2 linked regions of the Alligator mississippiensis genome follow. The protein of the gene in region 1 binds, or shares a complex with, the protein of each later gene. Links are inferred from orthologs where the notes say so. Each region holds a gene or a part of one and is shown in the gene's direction. Other genes may lie near its edges. The genes, in order: AAR2 and CD2BP2.

Region 1 (15,905 bases):
AATCCAGGGTGTGAGAGGGAGGGTTATTTGAGGTGAGAGGCCTTAATGGGCACAGCAAGCTCTGCTAAGATCAAATACTAGTGAAAGCCTTAAATGAATTAGTGGCAAATGTTTTATTGTTATTCTGATTCACAGGCATTAGCTTTGGCAATCAAAGAGGCCAAACTGCAGCACCCTGACATGCTGGTAACCAAAGCTGTGGTATATAGAGAAACAGAGCCTTCACCAGAGGAAAGGGACAAGAAGCCTCAGGTATGTACAGAAGTTCCAAGGTAGAGCACCTATCACATGGTCACGCACGCACACGCACACACACGCATACACACATGTGCACATGCACACACCCCCCCCCTGAGGTGACAACATATATAGAATGTCCTTCATCATCCTCCATAGGTTCAGTATACCAGTATCAGTAAATAGTTTGAGTTGGGACTTGAGAGATGCCAGTAAAGGCCAGGAACTCCTCTTAGTCATGGTGATGGAACAGACAGATTGCCTGTTGTTACAGTAGATAATAGCATAACTAAATACTATATGCTTTCTGAAAGGCCTCTCCTACAGCAGTCAGGGAGATATTCCTGTAGGATAATTATTCCGCCAGCTTGCAAAACAGCTGTATGAGCAGCACCTCAGTGCTTAATGTTCTTAATCCAGGTTTGTCACAGGGACCATTACAAAGGGCCATATTGCATTTTAGCTCCCTTGTTTGTGTAAAGCCTTTCTTAGGGACCTCTGTCACTTTTTCAATAGCTTACTTCCTCAGTGTACAGTACTTTATTCATCTTCCTTCCTGAACACCACAGGATGTCTTTTCAAAGGGCCTACAAAATGGCCACACTTGTGACTGAACTCATAAGTGCAGATGGATCTTTATGTTTGCTGGAAAGAACTAGCCTGCTCAGACAAATGGTGATGGCATGTCTGGTCACCAGTTCAAATTCAGCCCAATCTGACAGTGACCAAAGGTTGCTTCCACCTGATCACTATTAGAAAGCCTACCACTACAGTGAGTCCCGTTATTGGTAATGTCAGCAGAGAGGCCAGAGACTGATTATAGAGCTTGAAGAACATTCTCATTCTTACAAGGTCCTTCTAGGGGCTAGGGATAAGCCAGCTTGGTGGATGGGGTTGTTGCAGGAAGCTTATTCTGCTACCTGACTTTGTGGATAAACTGAGGAGTTCACTCCCCAGATTCTGCCAGCACGGGACAAATCACAAGAGCTACATTTGCAAGAAGCAGTTATTTAATACCTCCTCAAGTTCCCAAGTTCACTTCTGTATAACTGTCCATTTGTCAGTACAAATGCGCATTGTTTGCACATGCAATCTTGTGAACTCGCACTTAAGTCCAGGTGCATTTCTAGAGGCTTCTTGAAAATCTGGCTCCATTTTCCTTTTCTACATGATCTAGATAGTCTTGGCTTAAATGTCAGGGCTGGAGAATGGCAGTTTGAAAAACGAGTTTCGTTAAGGTTTTCTTGCATAGTCATTCCTTAAACAGGACTTCTTAATTGGATAAATGAAACTGACAGAATCTAAATGGAGCACTATACCTAGACATAATGGGCAAACTCTAACCATGGTGCAACTGTCAGCTTCAGAAGACAGTAATCTCAAACAAACTTGTTTACATTGGACAGATAGTAGAGCTATCTAGAGTCCAGATCTGTTACATTTTTTAGTATTGTTTTTCTCAGGTCACATCAGATTAGCTTTCAGGAAACAGAAGCTGCAAGAAAAGAGCAGCACTGAGCCAGCAAAGGTCATAAGGAGCTCAAACAGGAAAAACAAGATAATCAGAGGGCGTGTCCACGTGACATGCTGACTGAACAGTAGCCAAATAATACTGCGCAGTAGTGCGTCACACGAACGGTGCTAATATGTTACTACAAAGTATTATTAGGTTACTGCACAATAATGTCACTTAAAAGACATTTGCCAGCACTACTGCACAGTAACTCCAGTTACTGCGCGTTTATTTAGTACTTGCTAATACAGGTACCCAATAAATGCACAGAAACAACTGCACAGTAGCATCTTGCGTAGACATGCCCTGGAGAAAACGGGGATGCAGCAGCACCATGATGACAGTAAAGAAAGACCAAGACTGCACTGAAGGAAGGCTGTAAAAGCTGGGTCCCTGCCATAAAGTGCTGAGCTGAGTGCTCATGTTGTCCCTAAGCACATTGGGCCAGATCCTGTCCTTAGCCATGGTCCGATGCTGCAAGGCACCATTTGCCCTCAACTCCCATTTGCCCTCAACTGATTTCAGAGACTAGAAGGCCAGAGGGATTGTTCTGATTCTCTAATCTAGGAGCAGTAGGTCATCATAATGCAGCACGGTTGAGGCAGGCCAGCACTTCTGACCTGGCTGCTGCCAAGTGCTGCAGAATTTCCCCAACAGCAGGGAAGCCCTGTCTCCAAATTTATGTACTGCAGAAATGCTGCTGATATCCAGGCTTCATGGACTGGATGGAGTTCTTGGCTGGCTGAATCCATCCTGTGGGCCATAGGTTGCCAGCCTCTGTTCTAATCTTACCTCCTGCATAACGCAGAACAGGCAAAGTCACTCAGTAGTTTCAATGGCACCTTGCAGAATCACGCTTTTACATCATTTGAATTCAGTTGTGGGGTACCAATGGAATGGAGAATGAAATATGGCCCTGTATGTTTCGAGCAACATTGTTTAGTGTTTTAATATAAGCAAGAACCTTTTAATAGACCAGTAAATTATATTGACCAAATAAGAAAGGAAATACTCCATGATCGTTTACATCTGCTTTGTACAGGAATCTTGACCTCCACGTTCACCGACATTGGCATCTCTATTCAAACAAAGCTGGAGAACAGTGAAGAAGGGGCCTTCATGCTGGATTTGTCAACAAGACAGACATCCTGGCTGCAACCTTAATGGCGAGAGACAAAAAAAAAAAAAAAAAAGGAATAGCGAATATATATTATATATATATATATATATAAATATATATATACACACACACAAGAAACAAAACGCATCCTTGCACTGCTGCTATATGCTGGAGATGAGATGAATTACAAACAGCAACATCAATAACAGCAAAACCAACCGCCTCTTTTAGCCTTTGCGGAGAAAGTGATGAATTTGACTGGACTGATAAGAAAAATCATGATAATAATAATCTTATTAATACAACAAACCGCCATTTTGCATGTTCCATTTAAAGGATACACAGATCATGGGGTCATTTGTTGCACACTGAATGGAAAGGAAAGATGCTTTGCAACAAAGCAAGAAACAAACAAACAAACAAAAGAAACCAAGCGGAAACAAAACTATTCCCCACCTAAGGAAAGAAGAGAGAGAACCATTGAACTGTTTTGATTCTTTCATGATTATTTTTTGCATTTGGGATGTGTGGCAACCACCTCTCTTCCCCATTCCATGCTGGTTCTATTGCATCATTTTTCAGTTGTTATGCTCCTCCCCAACCTCCCTTCCCTTTCCTCTGTCCCTTTATCCGAGCTCTTTTTCCGAAGGTATTTAAGAATGGATCTAATTTGAAACAAAACAAAAACAAATATATGTATATGGTTTTTCATTTATAAAGATGCAGCCTGTAAGGGTTTCATATGGATGTGCTTTTAAGTTATGTATATTATATATAACAAGGGGGGTGGGGAACTGAGGGGTGGGAAACAATATTAAAATAATTAAACAGTGCTGGTAAATATGATGATGACATTTTTAAGTTATAATTATTTGATTGACTGTGGTTGATGTATTACAAGAATCTTAGATCACACTGACATCCCGCAGGAAGAGGATGGGGAACATTTCATTAACCACTGCTCGCTGTGGGGTGGAGAGGAATGTTGCATTTGTCACTGAGTGATCAGCTCTGTGGCAGGAGGAATTGATGTAGTGATACAGTATATGTTTGTAATTGGTTGGTTGGTGACAAAGGAGTTCTTGGTAATGTAAAGAGGCGAGGGCCTGGGAAAGAAGGAATGGACAGTTATAACCACAGCCCAGTTAGCATCACCAAAATGCACCAGTCAGCAATGTCTCACCAGCCCCCCCAACAAAAAGATGCTTCCCACCTTTAGGAGTCCTTGACACCCCCCCCGATCTGGAGTCCCCACAGCAGTAGAGAGATCATGTCATACTCCTCAGCGATGTCTTAAAAACCAGGACCAAAGTCTGAGTTACAGATCCATTCCCACACCCTACACCTACTGAAGCAGGACACTTGCATAGCTGCATTTCTGAACCCTGGTCTTGATCTAGCTCAAGTGAAGTTGAAGTGGTGTGTTTCAGATAAGCAAGAGGGTATTTCTGCTCTGCTTGGCTTTGAAGCAGGCTGCACACCTGGTTTCTGCTAAGGTGACCATAGGCGTTATGACAGCTCTCATGAGGGGAGCTGATACACAGCAATCTCCATCCTTTACCTCTTTGGTACTGTTCTACCACAGCCTTGCCTAGAGTATACTCCTATCTGCTGGCAGTTGAGAAGGTGACTGTGTGTTACAAAGATGTGTGAGTGCAAAGCTTAGTAGATTAGCAAGGCTGAGTAGCCTTGTCCAGTCAGCCAACACTGAGAGGCAGTTGCTGATGATGCACCAGTGTCCAGTGAGGCTGCTTTCCTCTCTATTGGTCAGACTTTTGCACCTAGATGAAGGTTTCCATCACTGGTACACTTGGAATGGGGATTATGGGTGCCAGCTCAAGCCTCATATACTGTCAACCAAGCAGTTAGGGCAAACTCAGAACCAAAAAAAACAACAAAACAAAAAAAAATCAACTGATTTCCAGAGAAATTGTCCCAAGCTCCTCAAGTTACAGAAGGGCCCATAAATATTGCACCATTTTTGCCTTTTTTCACAGACCACAAACATAAAGAGACCTTACACCAGGTAGAAAACTCTTCTAAATGATTCTTGTGATGGGATCAGAGGGTTGTATTGAAAAGGGATCAGTAGAATAATTAGGATTAAGTGGACGTACCCATCTGATCAATCTGCTGCCACAGCAGAGAACTTCGGGCCTCTGGTGGATCTTGGTCCTTCCATTTGCCTTCTACTATGTCCCCACAAAGTCTGTTCTCCTTTTGGCACATCAGTTTCTCCCATAAGCATTAATGGCATGAGCACAGCCTCCCTGATAAAAGAATTGATTCCTTTGCTTCTGCCAACAAAGTTTGTGTCAGATTTCCAATGAATCCAAATGTGTATTTTTTCTCCCAGGATTCTCCACCTTATCACCCGATGCTGCTTTAGGGAACTGTGCCCACCAACATCAAAAAGAGACTGAGCCTTTGCACAGCAACCCACATGTGAACTAGCTACATAAAGCACTTGTGCTTTTGGGAAGAGAAGCCAAACTCCAGGAGATCTGTTCCCACAGCTGTGCAAAATATTAGGCATGTTTCTCCCATTGGCATGCTAGGGTGTGTCCCAGCGCAATAGTTTTTTTCAATACATCCTGCATTTCAAACCAAAGAGCAGCTGGTGCAAACTTGAGACCACTGACTTTTGAATAAGAGGCTACTCAAACTCTTCGTGCCTGATTCTGGTCTCTCATGATGGTTTAAAATTTGGAGCAACTTCATGAGCATCAGTGGAGTTACACTGCTGTAAAACCTAAGTAGGAGAATTGCACTCAGCCCCTACATGTTCAGATTTTTAAAACTGAATCCAGTTCTCTGGATTCTTCAACCCAACGTATCTGATGGGTGACAATGAAAAAAGTGGGGGAAAAAAGTGGAGTCTTTTGCTCACCTGGCAAAGTATGGATTTTATATATACAGAATATTTATTCTTTGTGATCATATTTGAAGCCAGGTGCCCCTTGAAAGTTTTGGCTTTCTTCTGCCTTGTTCATTACTGTTGCTGATATTTAAGGTAGCTGATCACTCTTTTTCTTTCATCTGGGGGCCTTTCCATCGAAGGAGGTGGGAGACGTGAGTGCCTGTTCATACCTAGTCCCACAAGTTCATTCCAGAATTGGCCTGCAATTGCATGAGTACTAATAATAATAATAATATTTATTTTTATTTGAAAAGCACCTTACCAACCAACTGCAATGCTCTGCCATTCCTTCACTAATTCCCCTTTCCTCTTCCCTGGTTCCTCTTCTCTCCTCCACTCCCTTCAATCATATCCCTTTCAGTGCTTGGTGATGTATGCGTGTGTGCTCACTGTTCTTGTATTCAATAAAAGTGAAATAAATGTGTTTGATGCTGAACCAGCTTGTGACCTGAAGCTGACTTTTCTCTGAGCAAAGCAGTGGCAGTTACTACCCTTAGGAGCAGAGACTCCTCAGGGTGACAGTATGCCCAGAGGCAGCTGGGTCTCCCACAGCTGGCTGTGATGAGGACGCCGAGCAAGGACCATACATTGTGGGTTGGGCAGAGCTGCCCAGGTTCTCATCCAGGAGCCTACCTAGTGCAGAGATCCAGTTGAGAAGAGGAAGGATGGGAGGTCATGCTGTCCTGCCAAACTTCACCCACAAAATACGTTTCATAGATTCATAGGCTACGTTCCACCCTTGCAAGCCACCGAAAGGGAACCCTGCTCACAGCAGGCTGTAGATGTTCAGAGCATGAAAGTACGTGCTGTCCTGGTGTCTCTGCATTGCTGGGACCTACTCCTGAATACATGTCGGTCCTGTTAGGTGTTTGGGGGCTTGGTTTCTTTTTGATGGGGAATCTTCAAATGTCTATCATTTGTGGCACTGAAATGACGTGGGGATAAAGGCAGGCTGGGAGGCAGAGCTTGGATGGGAAATACTGGGGGAACTTGGAGAGGAGGAAGAGTCTGCCATGAACTGCCATCCATGTGGGTGTCCCTGAAGGGTTTCTTTGTGGGAGAAGGGCAAGTCTTGTCCCTAATGCTCCCCTGGCTGAGGACAAGGACATGGTGGGAAACCCTAAGAGGATTTATAACCCAGGCAAGGATACATCATCAATTATACACCACAATCACGTTGAAGCATTATTGCGGAGACGGTTGCATGTTCTTGAGGGAAAGCAATGCCCACAAACAGGCATTCAGTGGCCCCATGAAACGAGCGGGGGCTCCCACGCTGCCTCCTCGGGGACGGGCGCACTGAGCCCTTGCAATTCACCCGGGGCTGACAGCTTCGCTAACGGAGCAGCGCGGGGCTGGGGGGCAAAGAGTAACATGGACTCGCCCTTTCAGCCCCATTCCTCCGGGCCGTCGTGGACAACATTGCCAGCGCGCCCGGGGCAGGCTGTGACGCGCCCCCGGTGGCGAGGCCCGGGCCACCGCCGTGTCGCCGGGAGACCGAGCCCGGCCCTTCCCGCGCGGCCGCAGGAGCCGCCCGGTGCTTTCGCGGCCGGACCCGCCGGAAGTCGCCGGCTCAGCGGAAGCCGGGGGCTCGCTTCCGTGCGTGAGTGCGTGCGGAGCCGGGCATGGAGGCGGAGCGGGCGCGGCGGCTGTTCGCGGAGGGCGCGGCAGTGGTGGTGCTGGGGGTGCCGGAGGGGACGCAGCTCGGCGTGGACTACAAGACGTGGAGCGTGGGGCCCCGCTTCCGCGGCATTAAGATGATCCCCCCGGGCGTCCACTTCTTCCACTACAGCTCCGTGGACCGCCGCGACGCCGGCGCCTCGGGGCCGCGCACCGGCTTCTTCCTCAGCCTGCGGCGCCGCGACCTGCGCGTGCTGCGCTGGGACCCGGCCACGGAGCTGGTCGACCTGAGCCCGGCGCCCGCGGAGCAGAGCGAGGCGATCCGGGCCAACCTGCTGGAGATGGACCCGTTCCTGGGCCCCTACCCCTACGACACGCTCAAGAAGTGGGTGTCGCTCAGCAGCTGCATCAGCGAGGCGGTGATGCAGACGCTGCAGCCCGAGAGCGGCCAGGTCTGCGCCTTCTCCGAGGTGCTGCCGGTGCTGGCGGGGACGCACGCCAAGGACCGGGCTGAGCAGAACCGGCCGCCCTACGACACCGAGTGCAAGAGCTATGCCGAGGGCCTGGCCCGGCTGCCCGAGATGAAGCCCAAAGCGGGCACCGAGATTCGGTTCACGGAGGTGCCGACGCAGATGTACCCCGACGGCGCGACCCCTGAGGAAATCACCAGGCACAACATGGATCTCAGCTACGCTCTGGAAACCGTCATAAACAAGCGATACTCCAGCAAACCTGAGGATGTGCTGGGTGAGTGAGAGAGTTTCCCGTAACTAACTCTTTGCCAGCATGAGCAGCGGAGGGGGGGGGGATGTCCCCCTGTACCTGTTGTGCCAGGAACTCAGCCTGTGGCTTTGTCGGGGAATCACTGGGCCCAGGGGCTGGCACTCTTTCAAAGCGGTGGCAGCAGGCTGGGTGCTTGCAAACTGTGCCAGTCCCCTGTCCCTGCTGCTGCAATCCCTCCTTGCTCTGCGCCCCCACACGCTTACTGTCTGCTGCTGAAAGCCATGAAAAATGCCAGTGAGGAGCCGGCAGACAAGGTTCTTTGGGTGAATGTGATATCTTTTATTAGACCAACTTAAATAGTTGGAAAACTTTTTATCAGTGAGCTTTCGGGTTTAAAAACTCTTCTTCAGGCTGAGGAAGCACCTGCAGTTTGTATGCACTCTTCCTGGATGGAAGGAATAGTAAAGAGGCCAGAGGCTGATCTGCAGGCAAGACAGATAGTCAATGAAAATGTAAATTGAGGAGTCAGTGGGGGGGGGAATGAATGAATGTAGCAGGTAAATAGTAGAGAGGCGTTTGGGGAGTCGGAAGTCAAGTAGGTTATAATGTGTCATAAATCCAATGTTTATATTTAGTCTGTGCTTTTTGTAAATAGGAGGTTGATGAAGTAAAGTTCACAGGTTCATCTGTGAAAAGTGTTTTGTAAATTCCCTTTGAGGATTAGAACCGAGGAGCCGCAAATTCAGCAGTGAGGGCACAGAGCAGGAAGCTATAAGCAGCTATCTAAATGTGGTCTCTTTAAATCACCACTTTAATGCAGTCCATTTTCATCTGCATAATAGCTTGAATATGGTAGCTTTTCATCTCTTGTGTTCAAACAGCAGAGGCTGAAAGACTTGGGAATAAGTGATGCTTGTGCACTGCTGGTGACCTCTTCTGGTAGGATTTGGGGGTTGTGCAGAAAGCTTTGAGTAAATACTGTACAGAACAATGTATCATACATTATTTAGCGACACATTAGAAATTGCCAGCTGGTGTCCCTCAGTGGCAGTGCTTTAATTACCTGCTAATTCCAGTGGAAACAATGATAAATCCTTGTTGTATCAGAAGTTGTTTGAATATTCTTTCCTTGGTGGCATTGTATGAGGACTGTGAAACCAAGCAGGGACGGCATTGTTATCCTTTGGATAAATCCCTAAATGATGAAATATCAATTTTCATTTCTACCTAGGAGAACTTTTACTATCTTTGCAATCTCCTATGCCTAGCGAAGGGTGCCTGTGCCCAGAAGCTTGCAAATAAAGAATTTTTTTTGCAAATATCTAGTTGGTCTAATAAAAGATACCACCTCTGCCACAAATTTTGATTCCTTTTGCCTCTAGACCAATATGGCTACAACCTGGATACCTCCCTAGATGGTTGATATTTCATATCAATTTCTTGTTTCTTCTTTTTTCCTGTTAATTTTCTGCCTTTATGAATCATAGTGTGGAATGTTCTAGGACAGGGGCTGCTGATCTGTGGCCTGTGAAGCTGTGGCTGTGGCGGAGGAACAGCTCTGCTCACACAGCACTGCAGTAGGGCACTGAGGACTTTGGTGAGGGGGAGCTTTCCCTGTGCCACAGCAGGATGGCAGGGAAAAGTGGTAGATGCAGCCAGGTCCTAGTGCCAGCCCAGCTTAGCCCTGAACTGGGTCACTCTGGCTCTTTGCCAGCAAATGTTGGCAACTCCTATTCTAAAAAAAAGCTAGTTTACTTGCAAGTTAATTGTTTCTCGTAAAGCACTGGATAGTGTTAGATGTTGATAATTCTCACAAACAAGACGAGTCTAAACATTGGGCAATTTTTAATTTTGATCAGGAGTAGTACACAGTATACTGCTCACGTTAGTTATGCTGTACATATTAGTTATCGTTTTCTTGTTTTGATTGTCTGGCTCATCTGGCGGTACCCACACCATATTGTAGTTACAGTAGCAGCCTCGTTTGTCCTGTTGCCCTCCTTGGAAGCACAGGCTTTGGAAAGCCAAGAGGATAGGGATCACAGGAGGATGTAATGCCTCCATTTTTGTAGTGTGATAATTGTAGGTAACAGCGTTTTATAACAATAAAACAGACAATACCATATCCAAGTGTCTGGAAGTCACTTCACAGCAACGTTACTCTCTGATTCTATTTGATGATAAAGTGGCTCTCCACAGTAAACGGCTGTGCTAAACATGTCCTTTTTTGATTGCAGTATGCTTGTTTCCTAGTCACATAACAAAGGAGTGGGAAGCAATCAATGTCTGAAGGACTGACAATTGTTACTGTAGCACAACCATTGGGATCAGAAGAATCTCTTTGTGTGCTGGAAAAAGGCCAACCTTACTAGTGTATGCACAAATCTGCATAGCTGTCAAGGGCTGCATGTGCCTCTTTCACTTTGATTCACTGACTAAAGTCCTTTTCTGTCTCTTTTTTTTTTTCTCGGTGGGGCATTTCCAGGTGAATTGCAGTTTGCTTTCATCTGTTTCCTGATTGGGAATGTGTATGATGCGTTTGAGCACTGGAAAAAGCTCCTGAATCTCTTGTGCAGGTCAGAGGATGCCATAGGGAAGTATCAAGTTCTCTACACCAGCCTCATTTCTGTCCTGTACCACCAGCTCAGTGAAATCCCACCGGACTTCTTTGTGGACATAGTTTCCCAGGATAACTTCTTAACTAGCACTCTACAGGTAAGTCCACCCTCTGCAGAAAAACAGTAGTATGAAAAAATCTCACGAGAATGAGGATGGAAACATAACATGGGATGAAATTCAGATGAGGCTGGGGATGTAGATTGGGGTGGGATTCACTGCCTTTCACTTCATGTGAAATGGTATGCATGAAGGTCTGAGGGCACACCTACACTGATGTTCAAGGGGTTTCCTTCATTCCTTCATCCAGCGCTAGGTACTTGAACTTCCCTTTCCCATCTCTGCTTTACCTCAAAGCCTACAACTAAGACTTCCATGCTTCTTGTACATTGTTCCAAAAACACTCCAGAGTGGGATGTCCTAGAAGTAAGGCTGCTTTTCCCTCAGCTCTGAAGTTTAGAAGGGGTTTAGGTGTCAGCTGGACTACCATCCACTGCTAAATAGGGATTTCCAGTATAAACTGTTGGGTTTGGGCTTCAAGGTGGCTCTAAAGTTGACCCTAACTACCAGTTTGGATACAGTCATAGATTCTCAATTAATTGCCTGTGTGCTATTTCTGCAATCACCCCACTTAAATCTCAAAGGGCTGAATGAGGTGTTACAGTCCTCTAATTTAAAAGGCTTATTACAAGGTGCCACATCTTGTTAGGGCTCATGGCCTTATGAGTGTGAAGTAAACATTCTGTGCCAGTGTAGCATATCCATTTTAGAGGTTGGTGCAGTATAACTCAATTAATTTAATTTCACAAGTGCAATTTCTTAAAAGAGGGAAGGTCTTACTAGCAGTGCAGAGATGGGTAGATTTGAGCAAGGGTAATTTAGTTCATCATAAAGAAGATCGGCTTTTGTGATAAGTAAAAGCCTGATGATACTAATTTTGATCATCTTAGATGGCAGGATGATATTGTATGTGAGGAAGTTGGAACGAAACCTTGTATGAGCTTAGAGCACTGGCAGTTTCAAATAGGAACCTTCCTCGCCCCCCTGGCATGAATTGAAGCTCAAAATAATTTGTTTCACTAGAATCCAATTGTTTGTCTTCTGAGAATTTAAAAATACTCCTGAAGAAAGAAGTCTGCAAAGAAGTCTATATTGATGCTGGGATAAGACCTCTAGGGTAGATGATTGCACCACCTCTGCGGGGCGGGAGCTTGTTCCATAGTCTGGACACCCTAGTTGTAAAGAAGTTTTTCCTAATGTTCAGCCTGAAACTATCTTCTAGGAGTTTGTGGCCATTATTTCTAGTTTTCCCCCAGGGCGCCCTGGTGAACAATTGTTCACTGAGCCCCTGATGTACGCCTCTGATATAGCAGTAAGCCGCAATCAGGTCCCCTCTCAGCCTTATTTTCTTTAGGCTGAAGAGTCTGAGATCCCTCACCCTCTCATATGGCTTGCTGCGCAAGTCCCTGATCATGCAGGTGGCCCTTCTCGGGACCCACTCACTCCTAATCCACAGCCCTTCTCTGGACCCCTCTCGGGCAACAGTGTCAAAAGCCTTGTTGATGTCAGGGTATATTACATCTGCTACCCTTCCCCATCCATGAAGCCCATCACCTTGCCTTAGAAGGCAATCACAGCGGTCAAGCATGACCGCTGTGGACGAATCCATGTTGATTGTTCCAGATCACCAGGGATCTGGGTTTTCCATTTGCTGTGGAAAAACCTGGATTCTCTCTTTTAAAGGAGAAAAAGGTAGAAAACTATGGCGTTCCCCTTGCAGGCTGGCAGTATTCCAGCCTGCAAGAGGCTGCTTGGGGCTAGGGGAATGCCAGGAGCAGGAGGAAGCTGATCACAGGCTGGGGGTACCACATGCACGTGTGCATGCACATGTGCATGTGGCAGCCAGGCAGCATGATGGAGAGCAGCTCCCGCAACTCCCTGCAGGTAAGTCTGTGGTGGGGTGGAGCATAGGCAATGCATCCAGGGGGGACATGGGGAGGGGCACATACCCCTCTAGATTTTTGAGCCCACAGCAGGCACATGGCCCAGCAGGCAAGACCTAGAGCAGGAGGGCAGAGCAGGGCAGTGAGACTTGTTGCTGCCACTGCCAGGACCCCTGCAACAGTCGTGCCACCAGCAGCATGAGGAGTAATGGAATGGGGGCGAGGAGTGGTGCTGCTCTCACCTCCTCCACCACCAGCCCCTCACATGCTGGGCCACAGCTCTACCCCAGAAGGGAGGTAGGGTGGGGGGCAGTGCAGGCAGTCTGATGGGAGTGGTGGTGGCTGGGCCACAGTGGCAGGGTAGAGCCACGGCCCAGCACACAAGCAGTGAGAGGACGTGAGGGCAGCACAGCTATCCCCCCGCCCCCAGCCTGTTACTCCTTGTGTTGCTAGTGGCACGGCAGCAAATCTCACTGCTCTGCCCTCCCATGCCTAGTCCCACCTGCTGGGCTATGGAGGCCCCCAGGGGAAGGCAGCAGAGCAGGGAGCCCTACAGCAGGCAGCCTGCAATCCCCCACGTCCCCATGGGCTCCACTCCAGCCATGCTGCCTGCAGGCAGGAGGAGGGACCCAGGCTCCATACTCCTCCCTCTGCTCCAGCTGCAGCAGCTGCCGCCTCCAGCACATGGCAGGTGGTGCTTCAGTGCTGCCAACCAGCTGCAGCTGGCACCTACAGGGCAGGGAGTGGGCAGGATGCAGCCACCAGGTCCCATAGCGCTGGCAGCTGGGGATGGGCAGGGGGGCAGGAGGCTGTGGGTTGGGAATGAGGGGTCCTGGCGGGGACGAGAGGGCTGCGGGTCAGGAGCACAAGCAAAGCTGGTGAGGCTGTGGCTTGGGACTGAGGGGCACTGGCATATCAGGGCTGTTCAGCACCACAAAGCAGTGGGGGGGACAGCTGCAGCTGGATCCGCATAGTGACGAGTGAAGGGGGCAGGGGTAACTTTCATTTTCTGTGATAAAAACACCAAAATCAAATGCCAAAATATATTGGTATTTAGAATTAATTTTATTATAATGATTGAGGCACTGGTAGGCTTCCAAATTGCTTTCATATTGTAAATATATCAGTTGAACACAATGCTTTATTAATATGTTTACAAATTTTTGTGAACTGAAAAAATTCAGATCAGGTCCATCACAATGGTTCAGTGATTGTGTCAAGAGTCTTTACTTTTTGTATGGAAACTTTTACTCAAGCATTTATTGCAGAGTTTAAGTAGATAACAGTGATATTAAGAGAGAACACAGCTTGGCCTTTTTCATACCCTAGCCTGAGTTTGCAGGATCATCAATTAAAAAAAAAAAATTTTTGACTTGTAAAGTTATATATTGGAGTTGAAAGTTCCTGAGAGGGATAACTGTAAATCCCAGTAACCTTATTTTTAGTCCTTTTTAACACTAGTCTCACTTCTTATAGGAGAGTTCTGTTAAAAAATACTTATTTACATAGAAACATTAAGTCATTTGAAGAGGCCACCCACAGAAGTTGGAAGTTTTTAAGAGCAAGTTAAACAGGTGCTTGACAGGGATGATCCTGCCTTGAGGGGGCTGGTCTCGATGACCTCCTGAGGTCTCTTCTTGATCTACTTTTCTATTATTCTAAAGAGGCAGTTTTACAGTAGACTGAGCAAGGAAGAAGCAAATAGCTATGTACAAAACAGTGAACTTTAGCCATTTGTTTTCTGAATTGTATCCTGCTATCTAAAGGTCTCCCTTGAATAAGAGGTTTCTTTTTCCCAAAGGAGTTTTCCCTGCAACTTAATCCTGTAATGACATTTTCTTTGGCTTAGAAAAGTACTGTCCAACTTCTTGGTGGCTGGGGGCTGCACCATTGGGTGCCACAGCTCCCACTCACCTCCCTGACTGCAGACTCCTCTATTGCTGCATGGGCAGGTGGCACCCCCTGCCCTCCCCTGAACACAGGTGGGCAGCTCCCTGCTCCCTCACCCATATACTCTCCTGTGTGGACAGATGGGAGGGTGCTTCCCCCCACTTCCTTGGCTGCAGGCTCTCCCACTTCGCAACACTGCAGGCTGTGCTGAGCTGTGCCACCCACCCTGCCTTGTCCCCTGAGCTGGGGGGCAGGCAGTGAAAGCCAGAGAAGGGAGGAGGAGCCAGAGTGATGAAGAAAATAGTGGCCAGAGGATCCCCCATGGCTGAAATTCAACCCCTTGTGGAGTGCCAGGTGGACATTCCTGGCTTATAACATCAGCCTTTTGCTGTAGAAGTGAATTCTGAGTCACAAATTCAGCATGGTGGTAGAATCGAGCAGGAGAGCTGGGCTCTGTTTGAAGGCCCTGATCAATCAGACACAGGTGCCGTAACTACCTGAAGTGCTAAAGGAAAACTGTGAATGTGTGAGAAGTTAATGATTTCTGTGATACTATTAAAAAACTTCCTCCCTAAAGGTTATTCCTGTTTGATGCTACCTATGCTCAAGGCTCTTGGGGGGAATGACTGTTGTACATGATTAGAAATTTGATTTCCAAACAGGGGACCCCCTTCACTTCTCTAGCTTCCAAGGCAGTTCTTTGGGTGAGAACTCTGCCTATCCATGAAGATGTTGATTCCCAACATTTCTGTGCTTTAATCCCATGCTACAACATTGAAAAATTCTAGTACACTCCTCTCATTGAGCCTTGTATGTAAGGAGCATGGTCAGGCCCCTCACCCTGTTCACTGGAATTAGAAGTCACACTTGGAGACATGCTGTGAGTTGTTAGTCATGCAGCAGGTAGTTCTTATTTGGGGTTGTTTCATCTGCCTACAGTAGCTGAAGTTTATTTTTTTTAAATATTTGTTACAGTAAGAAACCAAATATGCTGGCCAATAGGACATGCCAGGTGACGCACACTCTCTCCCCGACCTTCACCCCCCCCCACAAAAAAAAAAAGAAAACTGTCCCTATCCTTCTCTTACACAGTAATCTCATGGCCAGACCAGTTGCCCTTAAGGGAACCTTATTTTTATAGGTGTTTATGTTTGATTCTCTGATGTAAAGTGGGAGAGATGTTACGCATGTCTCTCTGCTGCCCAGCCCCTTCTGTTTTAGCTATAAACCATGGCATGAAAAGTGCTTGGTCTCAAGTGAATATAAGAGAATTTGATTTCGTCTTATAAGAAAGAAACAGGGACATAAGGCTTGAAGGTTCAC
Region 2 (15,529 bases), on another chromosome or scaffold:
CTGTTGCCCCGCCCCCATGATACCCTGTTCCCTTGCTCCCATTTGCTCCCTGTTTTAGGAGCTGGAGCGGCAGCCTGGTGACCCCAAGTGGCTGGATGTCATCGAGAAGGACTTGCACCGCCAGTTCCCTTTCCATGAGATGTTCGCCGCCCGTGGGGGCCACGGGTGAGGGGCCTGGGTGCTTGGATTCCCTGAGTGGGTGGGAGCAGGGGGTCTGGGAGCCAGACGCCTGGGTTCCCTGGGAGATGGCACATGAGAGCAAAAATCTGGGTTCTTTGGGAAGATGGTAGGGGCTGGGGGGTGAGAGCAGGGGGTTCAGGGAGCCCAGACACCTGGGTTCTCTGGGGTGGGGGGGTAGGAGCAGGGGGTTCTGGGAGCCCAGTACCTGGGTTCTCTAGGAGCAGTGGGGGCCAGGAGGCCGGATACCTGGTTCCCCAGGGAGGGGGGGGAGGGCTGGCCCCTGCCCTTCCTGCTTGCGTCATGCCCTCTCCCATCCTCCCCCGGCCCAGGCAGCAGGACCTGTACCGCATCCTCAAGGCCTACACCGTGTACCGCCCCGATGAGGGCTACTGCCAGGCCCAGGCCCCTGTTGCCGCCGTGCTCCTCATGCATATGCCCGCAGAGGTGAGCTGCCCCCCCAACACCCCCCTGCCCCGCGTTCTCCAGGGCAGGGGTGGGGCTGGGAGCCTGGACACCTGGGTTCCCTCCCGCGCTGGTTGGACCAGCCGTTTTCCTGTCCCGGCACGTTGTCTCACCGCCCGTCTCTCCCCACAGCAAGCCTTCTGGTGCCTGGTGCAGATCTGCGAGAAGTACCTGCCTGGCTACTACAGCGCAGGCCTGGTGAGTGGTGCCTCTGCTCCCCCCCCACCCTGGAGAACCCAGGCGTCCGGGCTCCCAGCCTCTCTTGCTCCCACTCCCCAGATAACTCAGGCATCCAGGTTCTCTTTCTCTACATCTGGGGGGCACCATGGAGGTGGCAGCGTTCTGCCTCGGTGTGGGAACAGGATGTGACACGTCTCTGTTCCCCCCGGGACAGGAAGCGATCCAATTGGACGGGGAGATCTTCTTTGCCTTGCTGCGCCGCGCCTGCCCCATCGCCTACCGGCACCTCAAGAAGTTCAAAATTGACCCCATTCTGTACATGACCGAGTGGTTCATGTGTGTCTTCTCCCGCACTCTGCCCTGGAGCTCAGTGCTGCGCGTCTGGGACATGTTCTTCTGCGAGGGTGAGTCATTTCCCCCCCCGCCTCCCGGTCCCCTGCCCCACTGTGGGGCCTCTTGCTCCCAAGTCACCGCTGCTTCCCTACCACTGGGCCCCTCACTCCTGACCCACAGACCCCCCCCGGGCACCGGTGCCCCTCACTTGCGACCCACCACCACGGTCCCTGTTGTTTCCCCCAACCCATCTGTCTCCTGCCCTGTGGCCAACCACCTGCCTCCTCCCACCCCTCCAGGGGTCAAGATCATCTTCCGCGTGGGGCTGGTGCTGCTGCGCAGCACTCTGGGCTCGGTGGACAAGCTGCGCAGCTGCCAGGGCATGTACGAGACGATGGAGAAGCTGCGCAACCCTCCACTGCAGTGCCTGCAGGAGGAGGTGCTGGTGCACGAGGTCAGTCAGTCCGGCCCCTGGAGGGTGCTGCGAGGCTGGAGGTGGGGAACTGGGGGAAAGGGAGGGTTGCTAAGGGGTACTGGGCTGCAAGAGGGTGATTGGGTTGTAAGGGGTGTGGGGTCAGTAGGGGATTCTAGGATGTGGGGGGCATTGGCAGGGGCGGAGGGGAGGTAGTGATGGAGTGTGGGGGGAGCTGGGGTGTGGGGAGTTCGCTTGGGGATGCTGGGATGCAAGGGGTTGCTGTGGGGGATTACTGGGGGGGTTGGGATATAGGGGGTTGCTAATGGATGCCAGGATATGGGGGGTTGCTAGAGAATGCTGGGGTTTGCTAGGGAATGGTGGGATGCGGGGGGTTGCTACAGTATGCTGGGAAGCTTGGAGTTGCTAGGGGATGCTGGGATGTGGAGGGGTTGTGAAGGGATGTGAGAGGTTACTACAGGATGCAGGGATTTGCCAGGGGATGCTGGGATGTCGGGGGGTGGGGAACTAGGAGATGGGTAGCTAGGGGACTCTGGGATGTGGGAGAATTGTTAGAGGTTGGAGAGAGATTGCTAGGGGATGCTGGGAGTTGCTAGGGAATGCTGGCATGGGGTTGCTCGTGGATGCTGGGATGCGGGGGTCACTAGAGGATGCTTGGGCTTGCAAGGGAATGCTGGGATGGTGGGGTTTGCTAGGGGGTTCTGGGATGTGGGAGGAGTTGCTAGGGGATCGAGAGGGGTTGCTAGGGAATTATGGGATGCTGGGGGTTACGAGAGGATGGTGGGATGTGGGGGTGTTGCTAGGGGATATGGGGGTAGCTAGGGAAGTCTCAGATGAGGACTTGCTCGGGGCTGGAAGGGGGTCGGTAGGGGATGTTGGGGCTGGCTACCGGATTGGGCCCTGAAAAAACGGCAGATTTTTTGCTGAAAATTCGCGGTAAAGTATCGTTTTTTTATGGACTCTTCACGGGACCAGAACTTAGTAGACGGGTCCCAGCAGTTCCATGAAAAACGATACTTTACCCATGCTCGTATGGCCACCCAGCACACAGCCAGAGGCGGCGGGAGGCCAGGGGAGCTGGCTGCTACCACCTGCCCAGGAGCCCCATTCAGTCCTGCCCCTGCCTCGCTCCTTCCCTCCCTGTGACAGAAGTCGATATGCCTCCCATGCCCCTTTCCCTTCCCCTTCCCCAGCTTACCTTTTCTCATGGCCCTACTCATGGATGGTGGAATGTGGCGTGTCACTGGAGGATGCTGGGATGCGAGGGGTTGCTAGGGAACGATGGGGTGCTGGGAGTTGTTAGGGGAAGTTGGGATGGGGGGTTGGCTAGTGGATGGAGTGGGGTCGGAGGAAAGTTGCTAGGAGATGCTGAGATATGGGGGTTTGCTAATGGGGGCTTTGCTAGGGGCTGTGGGTGGTGTTGCTAGGGGATGCTGGGATGTGGAAGGGTTGCTAGGGGATACAGGAAGTAGCTAAGGGAGTCTGGGATGTGGGGGAGCTGCTAGGGGATGGAGGGGATTTGCTTGGGGATGCTGGAATACAGTGGTTTGCTAAGGGGTAGTAGCGGTTGTGGAGGGTGTTGCTAGGGGATGCTGGGACAGAAGGGGTTGCTACAGGGACTCATAAGGGATGCTGGCATACAGGGGTTTACTAAGGGGTACTGGGGCTCTGGGGAGTGTTAGGGGATGCTGGGATGACAGGGGTTGCTAGGGGACAAAAGGGGGCACTGGGGGCTGCTCAGATGCCCTTAGGACCCCCCATGATCCCTCCCTCCCCCCCAGGTGGTGAGCCTGCCGGTGACAGAGGCCCTGATCGAGCGGGAGAGTGGGGCCCAGCTCAAGAAGTGGCGGGAGACGCGGGGCGAGCTTCAGCACAAGCCCTCCCGGCGCCTGCACGGCTCACGCGCCATCCATGAGGAGCGCCACCGCCTCCACCCGCCCCCTGGCGCCAGCCCTGGCCTCCTTGGCCTGGCTTTCAAGCCCCGCCCCCAGCCACCTCGCCCCACCTTGGCACCCCTGGCTGCTGCTGCCGCACCCCCGGCCGCCTCAGGCCAGGTGGTCTCAGAGGGGCTGCACCCGGCCTTACCTTCCCCAACAGGCAACAACGCCCCCCTCGGGGGCCCCCACAAGGGGGCAGGGCCCCCCCAGCGGGACACAAAAGGGGTGGGCCCCGAGGACAAAAAGAAGCGCGAGAAGGAGGAGAAAGCCCGGCTGAAGCAGGAGAAGAAAAGGGAGAAAGAGCGGGAGAAGGAAGAGAAAAAGAGAGAGAAGAAGGAAAAGAAAGAGAAGAAGACTTCCTTCCGTCGCCGGGAGCCCCCGAAATCTGGGGGCGTGGTCCCGGAGGACGGGGAGCCCGGGGCAGGTGGATCCACGCTGCAGGACACTTACTTCTGAACTCTTCCCCTGCCCCCCGGGGATACAGGAGGGGCAGGAGGGGTGACGGACCAATTTTGGGGAGATCAGGGGCTGAGGAGACTCATGGGAAACCATTTTGGGGTCCCTCAGCTCCTGGCGGCCACCCATCCCCCAATGTTTTTCACCCCCTTGCTTCTCACTATGCCAAATGAGTCGTTTTCACTCCTCGTTGAACCAAGGTCATTCCCATCTTGCCCAGGATGGCTTCATTAACCAAGATGGTGTCCATCTGCTAACATGGCTCCTCAGCTTCTCTTCTTAGCCAAGATGGCTTCCCTCATCCAATAGGGCTCCTGCCTCATTAACCAAGATGGCTTCCCTCATTTAAGATGCCTTCTATCTCATCCAGGATGGCTTACCTACTCAGTCGAGATGGCTTCTCTTCTTCAATATGGCTACCATCTCATCCAGGATGGTTTTGTTAACCAGGATAACTTCCCTTATCCAATATGGCTCCTGGCTTCCCTACTCAACTGAGATGGCATCCCTCATCCAATATGGCTCCCGATTCAACCAGAATGACTTCATTAACCAAGGCAGCTCCCATCTCATCCAGAATGGTTTCCTTCCTCCAATGTGGCTCTCATTTCATCCAAGATGGCTTCTCTCATCCAATATGGCTCCCATCTCATCCAGAATGGCTTTCCTACTCAACCAAGATGGCGTCCGTTCTCCAGTTCAACATGGGTTCCCTCAGCCAATATGGCTCCCATCTTGTCCATCCTGGCTTCCCTGCTTACCCAAGATGGCTTCCCTGCCTCCAATAATGGTTCCATTTCATCTGGGATGGCTTGCTGCTTACCCAAGATGGCTTCCCTCCCTCTCTTTCCCCCAGGAGGGGGTCCCATCTGATCCAAAATGGCTCCCTCATCAACCAAGATGGCCGCCATCTCCTCCTCCCCACCAATGGGGAGGGGGGCGGAGGTCCAGGTACATCACCCCCTTTCCCGAAGGGCTACTGGGGCATTGCCCCACCCCCGCCCCAGTCTTAACGAGGAGATAATTGTATTAATAATAGTAACCCAATGAGGCCCCGCCCCTGTTTGTAAATAGGCCCCGCCTCCCTCCTTAAACTATTTAACCAGTTTCATCCCACCTCCTCCCCACAATCCCTAGCGACAGAACGCTCCTCCTTTGCACTGATATTGGCCCCCAGGGGTACCAATAAAGTTTTATTTGCCCCGTCCCTGAACCTGTTGTCTGCCAATGTGGCTCTCGATAAAGTTCATTGGTTCTTGAGGAAGGGGGCAGGGCCTGGCTGGGCAGCCTGCTGTTCACTGATTGGGCTCCCGATAAAGTTTGTCCATTCTCGTAGCGGGCGGGCTGGACTAGGCCCCCTTGTTCCCCAAGAGGGCGCTGGGCGAGGTTCATTGGGCGGCCGGCTCGAGACGTTTTGTCCGGCCTTGCGCTTCCGGATTGAACGTCAAGTGTTCTTGCCCGCCGACAGCATGCCCGCTGGCTTCCTCGTCGGGGGCGCTCTGTCAACGTGCTGCCCGCCGACGGTGCGTCCTCATTGGACGGTGAACTTTATCGCCTCCCGACAGCGCGTCCATCTGTACGCTTCCTGAGCGCCTCAGATGGTGTGCCCTCATTGGCTGAGGACTTTATTCCCCCTGTCCCCCTTGTTTGGGCGGGGAAGTTTCCCAACACTCCCTGTTCCCCAACAGCAGCCCTCCCCAGGAAGTTGGGGGTGGGCTTTATTGAGGCCTAGCTGCTGGCCAATGAGGAGCTTGCCCCTCCCCCAAAACGTAACTGGAAACCCTGCCCTCAGCTCTGGGAGCTCACCTGGCATGGTCACAGCTGTGAGAGGGGAGTGGGGGCTGATGGGATAGCTCAGGGCCTGGGAGGCCAGATGTCTGGGTTCTGTGCCCCTGCGTCCCATGTATATACGTGTCTTTACACATATATTATATATATGTCTCCATATTGTAATTATGTATACTCCGCCATGACTTAATTTAAAGGGACAGACACTGGAAGTCATTGACCTCACCCCCTTTGACCCCAATATCATTTGACCCCCGCCCCCGTGCCCCAGGCAGGCACATCAGGACACGCGATGTTTACATGATACGTCCTTTATTTCCTCTCCCCCCGCCTCGGAGATGTTCTGATTTTTATTTCTGCCCCCCCCATCCCTCCCCTTTCGTGCCTATTCTCCCATCCATTGGTTTATCTTTTTGTTCTGTCGCTTGGGTTTCAAAAGGTTCGTTAACAAAAAAACAAGGAAAAAAATACAAACGATATGAAAGAACCAATCTGCGAATTCAGTCTCTGTTCCACAGGGCGGGGGCAGAGACACCGATCCGGTGTGAGAGGGGTGGGGGGATGTCGGTTGGGTTGAGTGGAGGATGTGGGGTCTTGAAGGATGTTGGGTGGGGAGATGTTGGTTCTTCAAAGGCATTGGGGGCGGGGTCACCTGCAGAGCGGGGGAGGGGCTGGTCTGCTTGAAGGGGTGTTGGGGCTTCTGTGGTGTTGGCCACTGAGTTCCTGGTGCTAAAGTTGGGGTGACCACGGTTGGGTTTGGTGGGCCGGGGTTGGGCTGACCCAAGGTTGGCCTGGCCAGGAGACGCTGAGTCTTCAAGGGCATCGGGTGGCGGACAGTGCAGTTCCTTGGGGGGCGGGTGAGTCTCTTGAGTGTGGTTGGCTCTTTGAGGCCTGTGGGGTGGGGGGTCTAGAGTCACTGGGTCTTTCTGCGGGGGGGGCAGGAGCTCATTCAGCTCTGGTTCGGGGGTCTTTGGGTATGGGGTTAAGAAGGTGGGGACTGAGTCTGGGGGGCCACGAGGTGATGCTCTGGCAGCCTACTGGTGATGGTGCTGGAGATTGTGGGTCTGCGCTCCATGGGGAGGGGTTGGGGGACTGGGGGGGGGACAGGCAGAGCCAACCCTAGGCATGTGCAGGGCCCGGGGCATAGCAGCCTGTGCGGTGGGGGGTGGCACCCTCAGCACATGCTAATGGCGCTGTCTGCAGGCCCCCCTCCCCCCTCAAGGGGCAGGTCTTGAGTGGATACTTTGGGGTAATTGGTGGGTGGCAGGGCAGTATGTGTGGGATGGGGGGTCTGGGAGAATGGAGAAATGGTTGCACTGCCCCTTTAAGAGCTACTCGCGCTGCCGCCCTCCCTTGTTCCACCGGGCCCACTGCCAGGCCCTGATGTCACTTCCATTTGTTGCCCTCCAAAGAAAAGGCCCGCGGCCCCTTTAATTCCTGCTCACGCTTCCCCCTCCTATTGAAGCCAGAGAAGCAAACGCGCAGCGACGTCACTTCCTGTCCTGGCAGCGGCCGCACTCCTTGCCCCTCACCACTGAATAAATACGAATGAATAAATCGTCTACTGAAGAAATAAAAAACGGGATAGAAAAAGGGGGAGGGGCCGCACCCGGAAGCTGCTTCCTCCCGATATTTTTTCCAAGTCTCTTCCTAAAAATCAAAAACTTAAATTTCGAAATAATAATAAGGTAAAAAAAAGAAATGGGGGGCGGAATTAAAGAAAAGGGGCAGGGCGAATTTCGCTTGACGTCAGTTCCGGCCCGCACCCGAAAGTCGTATTCCCCCTTTAATATATACTTGGCCGGGGGCAGGAACCCCTCCAAGACCGGGTTTAAATCCCAGCAAGTAAAGATAATTCACGCGGGTGACGAAACCAATAAAAAGAGGCCGGCCTGAGCGTGTGACGTCACATCCGGGGATTCACACCCGGAAGTCGCCCATAAATAAGTTGTGGGCTTTTTTTAGTGTTTTCGAACAGTAAATCTGTTTAAATCCCTGAAACAGTAAATTCACTGGTGAGAAATGAAAAAAAGAAAAAAGCAGGGGGCTGGTCCGACGACGAGGCTTGAGGTCACTTCCGGGGTCAGGGGCTGGGCGACCCGGAAGTGCAGGCTGAGTGCGGAGTCCCGGGTGCGCGGGGCTCCTTTGTGGGGGGGGGGCGCTTGGAATGTTGGGGGCGCTCATTTGCATATGTGCGCGGCGGCGCGCGGGAGGGGCCTTTGGGGGTGTTTCCGGGGCATTTAGGGGCTCGGGGGGTCTTTGGAGGCCCTGGCACCCTCCGGGCTGGGTTGAGCGGGTGGCGGGGCACCCCCTGGCGGGGAGGCTTCCCGGCAGCCTCGCGTTCGCCCTGACCTGTGCGTGGGGCGGACAGGACCAAGAAGGGAGAGGGCTGGGGGAAGCAAGGGACTGCCCCCCCCCCCCCCCGGGGGAGGGGGTTGGGGCCGCCCCTCACCCCCATTCCTGCCCCCAGGGCTCTGGGCCGCCATGTCCAAGCGGAAGGTGACGTTCGAGGACCCGGACGACGACGACGACCTGGGGGGGCTGCCCAAGAAGCGTGGGGTGAGTGCGGGGGGGGGGGGGGGGCTCTGGGAGCCTGGGGCTGCGTCACCTCGTACTCAAGGTGGGGTGAAGTCCTGGAGGAAGGGGGCGGAGCTTGACGATGACCACGCCCCTTAACCGCACATAGGTGCAGGAGGCGGAGCCCGGCGGCCCCGGGAGCCGGTTCAAGGGGAAGCACTCATTGGACAGCGACGAGGAGGACGAGGATGAAGAAGCTGCCGGGGGCGGGATCTTGGCCCCGGAGGACGTGGAGGGTGAGTGGGGGTCAAGGGGCGGGGCTTGCGGGGTCAGGGGGCGGGGCCTGCACTGGTAGGCCGCAACCAGCAGCCAGAGGCTCCTCGCCTCTTGGTAGCTGGGGGCGGGACCTGTTGTGAAGGCTGTCCGTCACCGGTGGGTGGGCGGAGCCTAGTCTGGCGGCCCCTTACTAAGGACCGCAGGTGCAGTGGGTGGGTCTTCGTGGCTGTGGGCGGGGCCTGGGATGGTTATCCTGTGGGCGGGGCTTACCAGCGGCGCTGGATGCTGTCTATCACAGACGTGGGGGTATTGGGTGGGCTGGCGGGTGGGCGGAGCCTGAAGCCGCCCGTCACGCAGGCCAGGAGCCGGGCTCGGTGCTGGAGGAGGAGGGGGTGCGCTTCACGCCCTTCAACCTGCGGGAGGAGCTGGCCGAGGGCCACTTCGACGCCGCCGGCAACTACTTCCCCCGCGGCGACGACGGGCCCCCAGACGCCTGGCTCGACTCGCTCGACTGGGTGAGGCCTGGCATAGGAGTGGGAGACACTGCGGGGCAACGCAACGGCACTGGGAGGCATTGGGGAGAACTGGGATGGGAGGAGAGGGACACTGGGAGACACTGGGGTGGGAGGAGGGGGCTTTGTAGGGTACCGGGAGGAACTGGGACAGACTGGGATGGAAGATGGGGAGCCCGGGGAGAGGGGGTGGGAAGGTAGGAGGGAGGTCGCGGGCTGCGCTGGGCCCTGACCCTCCCCTCCCCTCCCCCGCAGGTGACTGTCAAGCCGCTGCCCGCCCGCCGCCGGGGGCAGTCCCAGCAGGGAGGGGGCAGCCCCGAAGCGGAGGGGACGGAGCCCGGCCGGGAATCCCCGCCCCTCCCAGACCCCCAGGCGGCGCTGGAGGGGCTGGTGGAGCTGGTGGGGCCGGGGGAGACGGTGGCTCGGGCCATCCAGCGCTTGGGCGGGGGCGGGGCCCGGCCCAGGGGGCGGGGGCGGGGCCGCGGGCGGGGCCGCGGGCGGGGGCGGGGCCGGCAGGCAGAGGTGGAGCCAGCACCGGAGCCAGAGCCGGAGCCAGAGCCGCCCGAGGAGGTCGAGAGGCGGGGCCGGCTGGAGCGGCTCTCGGGATTGGCCGACCTCATGGTGGCACGGGGCCACTACGGCGTCTACCAGGAGACGCGGGAGCGCCTGGCCCTCCGCCTCCGGGCCTTGGCCCCGCCCTCTGCCCAGGCCACGCCCACTGGCCCCACCCTCGACATGTTTGCTGAGGAGGTGGATGAGGCGGCTCTTCGAACCCAGGAGTCTGGTGAGCCTGGCGGGGCGGGGCGGGGCGGGGCAGGGGGCGTTGCCTGTGAGAGGGCGGGGCTGAGCTGTGCCCTCCTCCCGCAGGGGGCGGGGCCGTGGCCGTGGCGGAGGCGGCGCTGGACGAGGTGCTGTGGGAGTACAAGTGGGAGAACACGGCGGGGGCGGAGCTCTACGGGCCCTTCAGCAGCAGCCAGATGCAGGTGGGATGGCTCCGCCCCAGACTCAGCCGCATCCTGGCGGCCGCGCCCCACAGCCGCCCGCTGCATGTGACAGGCCGGGGGGCCCATGCTGGCAGCATACAGGGCGGGGAGGACCGCACTGGTGTTGCACACGTGTGGGGGGCCGTGTTGATGTGACGTGTGAGGGGAAGCCATGCTAGTGGGGGGCACCTCCATTGATGAGGCGCCTGTTGTGGGGAACGCGATGGAGGACCCGTATTGACGCGGCACCCGTAGTGGGGCCCCACATTGGCTTGTCATGCGGGTGGGGATGCGTGTTGATGCGGTGTGTGTTGAGAGGGACCCATGTCGGTGTGATACACGGGGATGACCTGTATTGGTGGACACATGGGAGGGACCATACGGGCCCGGAACAAGGGGGAACACCACATTGGTGCACGTGGTGGGTGGGGGAGCCATATTGGTGTGACGCGGCTAGACATGGGGGACCCTTATTAGTGTGACACGGGGGGGGGGGCCTTTGGGGGTGCCTTCCCCTAAATGGTCCCCCAACGTGGGCTCCCCCATGTGCGTTTGGATATGGGTCCCCCCAGTGTGTGTGTGTGTGTGTGTGTCCAATACAGTTCCTCCCGTGTCTCTTCAGTGTGGGTCCCCCCCTTACATGCATCCCTTTGTGTATCATCCCAATTTATGTTCCCGGGGGGTGTCCCCAGTATCATCCCCTCCCCGGTGTCCTCACTTTGGGCCCTGCCGTGTGTGTCTGTGTCTCATTGATATGGGTCCCTCTGTGTGTGTGTGGGGGGGGGGGTCTTCCTCCCTCCCTCCCCAGGGTGTGTCCGCAATATGGGTTTCCTCCATATGTTTGTGAGCGTGACCCCAAGATGGGTCCCCTCCCCACACGCATGTGTGTGTCCCCAATTAGGGCCCCCATATATGTGTGTGTGTGCCTGTCCACCCACCCCCAATTAGAACCCCCCATGTGTGTATGTGTGCTTGTCTCTGATATGGGTCTGTGTGTGTGTCCAATTAGGGCCCCCCATATATGTGTGTGTGTGTGTGCGCGTCCGTGTGTCTTACTGACATGGGTCCCTGTGTGTGTGTCCACCCCCATGTGCGTGTTCTCTATATGGGTTCCCACCGTGCATGCGTGCACACATTTCTCCCCAGTATCAGTTCTCTCATAGGTGTCTCCCTGATGTGCCCCCCCTCCCCCCCCATGGGTGTGTGTCCATATGTGTTTCCCCAATATGGATCTTCCTGTGTGTGTGTGTCTTCCCACTTTGGCCCCCCCATGTGTGTGTGTCTCCCCACGTGCATGTTGCACATGTCCCCCTGCATGTGTCTCCCCAATATGGGTCCCCTGTACGTGTGCATCTCTAGTGCAGGTCCCACCCAAGCGTGCATCACCCTGATATGGCGACGTCCCTGTGTGTGTGTGTCTCCCTGATACGAGTCCCTCTCTGTGTGCGTCACGGTAGTATGGGTCCCCTGTATGCGTGCATTTCCCTCGTGTGTGAGTTCCCCTTATATGGAGACGCCCCAGCTCCGTGTGTGGTTCTGGTGGGTCCTGCCCCATGCGTGTCACCCCTATATAAGTCTTCTGTGTGCACACATTGCCTCAACATGGTTCCCCCATACGTGCACCCCCATTTTCCATCCTGTCAGCGTGTGTGTCACTCTAATATGGGTCCCCCCATAACCATGTTGGTGCATCACATGATCTGTGCCCGTGTGTGTGACCCCCCTGCCCTACCCCAGAGCAGGCTGCAGCCTGGGGTGCCTGTCATGCCCAGCCCATGACACCCGCTGCCCCATAGCCAGCTGCATGGCGCCGTTCCACTCGTGCCCCCCCGCCTCAGCCACATCTCTCCCCCGACTCACCCCCTCGTCTCTCTCTCCCCCGCAGGAGTGGGTGTCCGAGGGCTACTTCGCGGACGGGGTTTACTGCCGGAAGTTGGACCCGCCGGGCGGGCAGTTTTACAGCTCCAAGCGCATCGACTTTGACCTCTATACGTGACCCCCGAGGCCCAGATTTTCAGGGCAGTCCCAGCCTGGAGACTTTGGGGGGAGGGATCTTTGTGTACACAGGTTTGGATTAAAAATGTCGTGTTTCACCCCAGAGCTGGCTGCCGCTCCGTTCTACCTGGCCTCTAGCTGCCCGCTCACAGCAGGGGAAGGCTCCCTAGAGCCAGCTGCATGGGGGCACCTATATAAGTGTAACGCGCGTGGGGGCAGGGGGGCTTGATTTTGGGGAGACCGCTGCATCATAGGAACCGTACATGGGGGGAACTTATATATATATGTATATATATGTGAGTGAGACACACGTATGTCTTTGTGGGGGTCCTAGTTTTAGGGAGACGCATAGCGTTGGGGGGGACCTATATAGGTGTGACACACGGGCCATCCTGATTTGGGGAGACAGCTGTATCATAGGAACTTCCTAGCACTGGGGGCACCCCCATAGGCATGACACATGTATGTGGAGGATTGCGGGGGGCTGTTTTTGAGGTGACGCACCCTGCATTGATGGGGCTGGTGTCCGAGGTCTTTCCAGAGAGACAGACGGGACAGACCCATGGGTGGGGGGGACCCCTTTTAGGGAGACACTGGAGGGGGCAGGTCAGCAGGCTGATACTGGGGTAATGCCCATAGCAGTAAGTGTCCAGGGGCTGGATTTTCAGGGGCTGGGAGCATATTGGTGTGACACCAACCAACCCACAGGGGACCCATATTTGTGTGACACACAGGAGGCAAAAGGTGCTGGGCTTTCTGCGGGGGGATCTATATTGGGGTGACACATGCATGGGGGGATATGAGTGTGACATGAGGGGGGGATGTGCAGTGGGGCAGCTCCCCCCTCCAGGGTGTGACACAGTAATAGTGGTTCGTGTGGGTGTCTGCTACCCCAGTAGCGGTTCCAGGGGTGTGTTACACCAATAAAAGTCCTCTGGTCACCCCAGGGGGACTGGGGTCACCCCAGTATGGTCTCCCCTTTTGGGTGGCACCCCAGTAGGGGTCCCCTGCATATCTCATACCCCAATAATAGTTGGTAGCGGTGCGTAACAAATGACAGTCCCCAGGGAGGTATGTGCCACCCCAATATGGGCCCCCGCCTTTGGGTGTGTCACCCCAATAGCAGTCCCCTGTGTGTCTGTTACCCCCATAAGGGTTCTCACGTGTGTCACACCGATTAGAGTCCCCCAGAGCTAGATCTGTGCCATTCTCAAAAAGGATCCCACCCCACGTGTCACCCCAGTATAGCCCCCACCCACCTGTGTCACCCCAACATGGGTTCCCTATGGTGTCACTTCATCACGAGTCTTCCTGTCACCCCCCGATATAGCTCCCATCGCGTGTCACCCCAGTACTGGTCACCCCACAATGGGTTCCCGTGATGGAGAGGGGTTGGGGACCCCATGGGGGGGGGGGGGGTCAGGAGGCTGCAGGGGGAGCAGGATTTGCTGTTCCCAGCGGCTGGAGCTGGGGTTTGGAGTGGCTCAGGTGTGCAGGGGGTGGGGCTTGGCGGTGGCCCTGCCCCCTCCGCACCTGGGGTTGGAATCGGGAAGTCAACAGCCTCCCTCCACCGCAGCTGCTGCAGGGAAGCCACGCGTCCAGCTCAGCTAAGCCCCCCGCCCCCCGTATCTCACCCCCCCAGCTGCCCCCTCCCCTATCAGCCAGGGGCAAACCCCAAGCTTCAAACCCCCCCCCCTCCCAGTCCGAAGAGCCCAGGCATCTGGGTCCCCTACCCCCCCCCCCCCCCCGGAAGGAACCCAGGTGTCCTACCCCCCCCCCCAATCCCCTCCCCATTGGTCAGGGAAGGAACCCAGGGGTCCGGGCACCCTACAGCCTCCCTCCCTCTCCCCCTCAGCCAGGTAGAACCCAGGCACCTGGCCCCGGCCCCCCTCCAAAGTCCGGGAAGGACCCCGGGCGTCTGGGCACCCCCTACCATGGCCTTGTGGGAGGATGGGGAGGAGGGGGGGGCGCCAGGGGGGGAGCCAGGGGGAGGGCCACGGCTCGCACGGGTGGAACGGGACCTGGCGCTGGCGGCAGAGCTGGGGCAGCTGCTGCTGGCGGCCAACGAGGAGCTGCGGCGCCAGCAGGAGGCACAGGACCACGACCACGCCCAGGCCCTGGAGGTGAGTGACCCCCCCCCCCCCCCCACCGCCCCAAGATCGGGGCCCCTCCCAGCCAGACCAGTTTGGGACTGGGAGGGGCCCTGGTGACGCACAGGGAGTAAATCAGCTCCACCTGGACTCCTGGGTTCCTTCACGGGGGTGGGGTCCAGATGCCCGGGTCCTCGGGGTGGGGGGAGATTGGAGGGCCGCGGACGCCTGACCTCTCCCCTGCCCCCAGCGGCTGGAGCGGGAGAACCAGGAGCTGAGGGTGGCGCTGGCAGCAGCACGGGCAGAGGGGGAGGGGCGGGCAGCCGAGCTGGAGGCGGAGCTGGCAGTGCTCCAGGCCCCACCCCGCCGGCCAAGCCCTGCCCCCGCCCTTGACCCCGCCCCCCTGGAGTGGGCAGAGCAGAACCAGCGCCTGGCGGAGGAGCTGCAGGAGGTGGGGACCTGGACGCCTGGGTTGGGAGGGAGGGCCAGGAGCCTAGATGCCTGGGTTCCAACCCACCCCACCCCGCCCCGCCCCCCGCAGGCGCTGGAGCGGGAGCGGGGGCTCCGGGCGGAGCTGGCGTCTCTGCGGGAGGAGACGCGGGCGCAGGGGCGGAGCCAGGCCGAGCTGGAGGCCGCGGCCCAGAGCCTGAGTGCAGAGGTGAGACCCCCCAACCCGGGCACCTGTGTCCCCTGCGGGAAGAGGGGGGCGGGCGGAGCGGGACCCAGACACCTGGGTTCGTTGGGCTTTCCGTGTCGCCCTCCCCCCCAGATAGCAGCGCTGCGGGCCCGGGTGGGGGCACTGGAGCAGGAGGCGCGGGAGCTGCGGGCCGAGGCAGAGGCGGCGCAGGGGCAGGCGGAAGCAGCACATGGCCATGGCCTCGTGCTGCGCCGGGAGCTGCACGAGAAGGAGCTCGAGGTACCGGCTGGGGGGCCACGAGGATCATGGCAGGGCCATCCTGGGGCACCTATTCCTTGAGGAACCTAGAACATACGCCCCCAAAGCCTTGCTAGCAACCAAGGGGTCAGCAGGTCTTGATGGACCTAGAACCCACCCACCCAGGAGGGTTGGGGGCCTTGAGGAACCTAGAAACCCCCTCCCCTTTAGTCTTGGTGACCACCAGCAGTCACCAGGGCTTGATGGACCTAGAACTCAGGACTTAAAGCTGGGTAGGCAGCTGGCTGGGGTCATCTGACACCAGCGCTCTTTCCTACCCAGGCAGGGGGTCGGACTCGATGATCTGTTGAGGTCCCTTCTGACCCGACATCTATGAATCTCATGTATTCATAGGTTGAACAAGGGATACCTGGGGTTGATGGGGGTTGAGGAACCTAGAACCCAACCCCCCTGGTAGCAACCAAAGGTCTCTAGGCCTTGATGGACCTAAAA

The links.
Region 2: AAR2 (region 1) and CD2BP2 share a complex: the UniProt entries of both Homo sapiens proteins name them as parts of the U5 snRNP complex. The link is inferred for Alligator mississippiensis from reciprocal best matches to the Homo sapiens genes AAR2 and CD2BP2.

Annotation. Positions count from the first base shown.
Region 1 is NC_081832.1:22,953,830-22,969,734, forward strand, and holds the start of AAR2 (protein AAR2 homolog), read left to right. Parts: upstream 1-7,384; 5' UTR 7,385-7,415; coding exon 7,416-8,157; intron 8,158-10,618; coding exon 10,619-10,848; intron 10,849-15,905. Other genes in the region: EPB41L1 (band 4.1-like protein 1), read left to right, coding at 136-252, 2,793-2,801. UniProt on the Homo sapiens protein: Component of the U5 snRNP complex that is required for spliceosome assembly and for pre-mRNA splicing.
Region 2 is NC_081830.1:652,600-668,128, reverse strand, and holds CD2BP2 (CD2 antigen cytoplasmic tail-binding protein 2), read left to right. Parts: upstream 1-7,277; 5' UTR 7,278-7,457; intron 7,458-7,543; exon of another isoform or gene 7,544-7,784; intron 7,785-7,803; exon of another isoform or gene 7,804-7,899; intron 7,900-8,010; exon of another isoform or gene 8,011-8,123; intron 8,124-8,239; 5' UTR 8,240-8,253; coding exon 8,254-8,328; intron 8,329-8,455; coding exon 8,456-8,582; intron 8,583-8,919; coding exon 8,920-9,077; intron 9,078-9,329; coding exon 9,330-9,858; intron 9,859-9,941; coding exon 9,942-10,057; intron 10,058-11,942; coding exon 11,943-12,053; 3' UTR 12,054-12,155; downstream 12,156-15,529. Other genes in the region: TBC1D10B (TBC1 domain family member 10B), read left to right, coding at 59-165, 510-624, 775-840, 1,037-1,226, 1,455-1,609, 3,370-3,981; BICDL2 (BICD family-like cargo adapter 2), read left to right, coding at 13,456-14,175, 14,393-14,593, 14,684-14,800, 14,912-15,058. UniProt on the Homo sapiens protein: Involved in pre-mRNA splicing as component of the U5 snRNP complex that is involved in spliceosome assembly.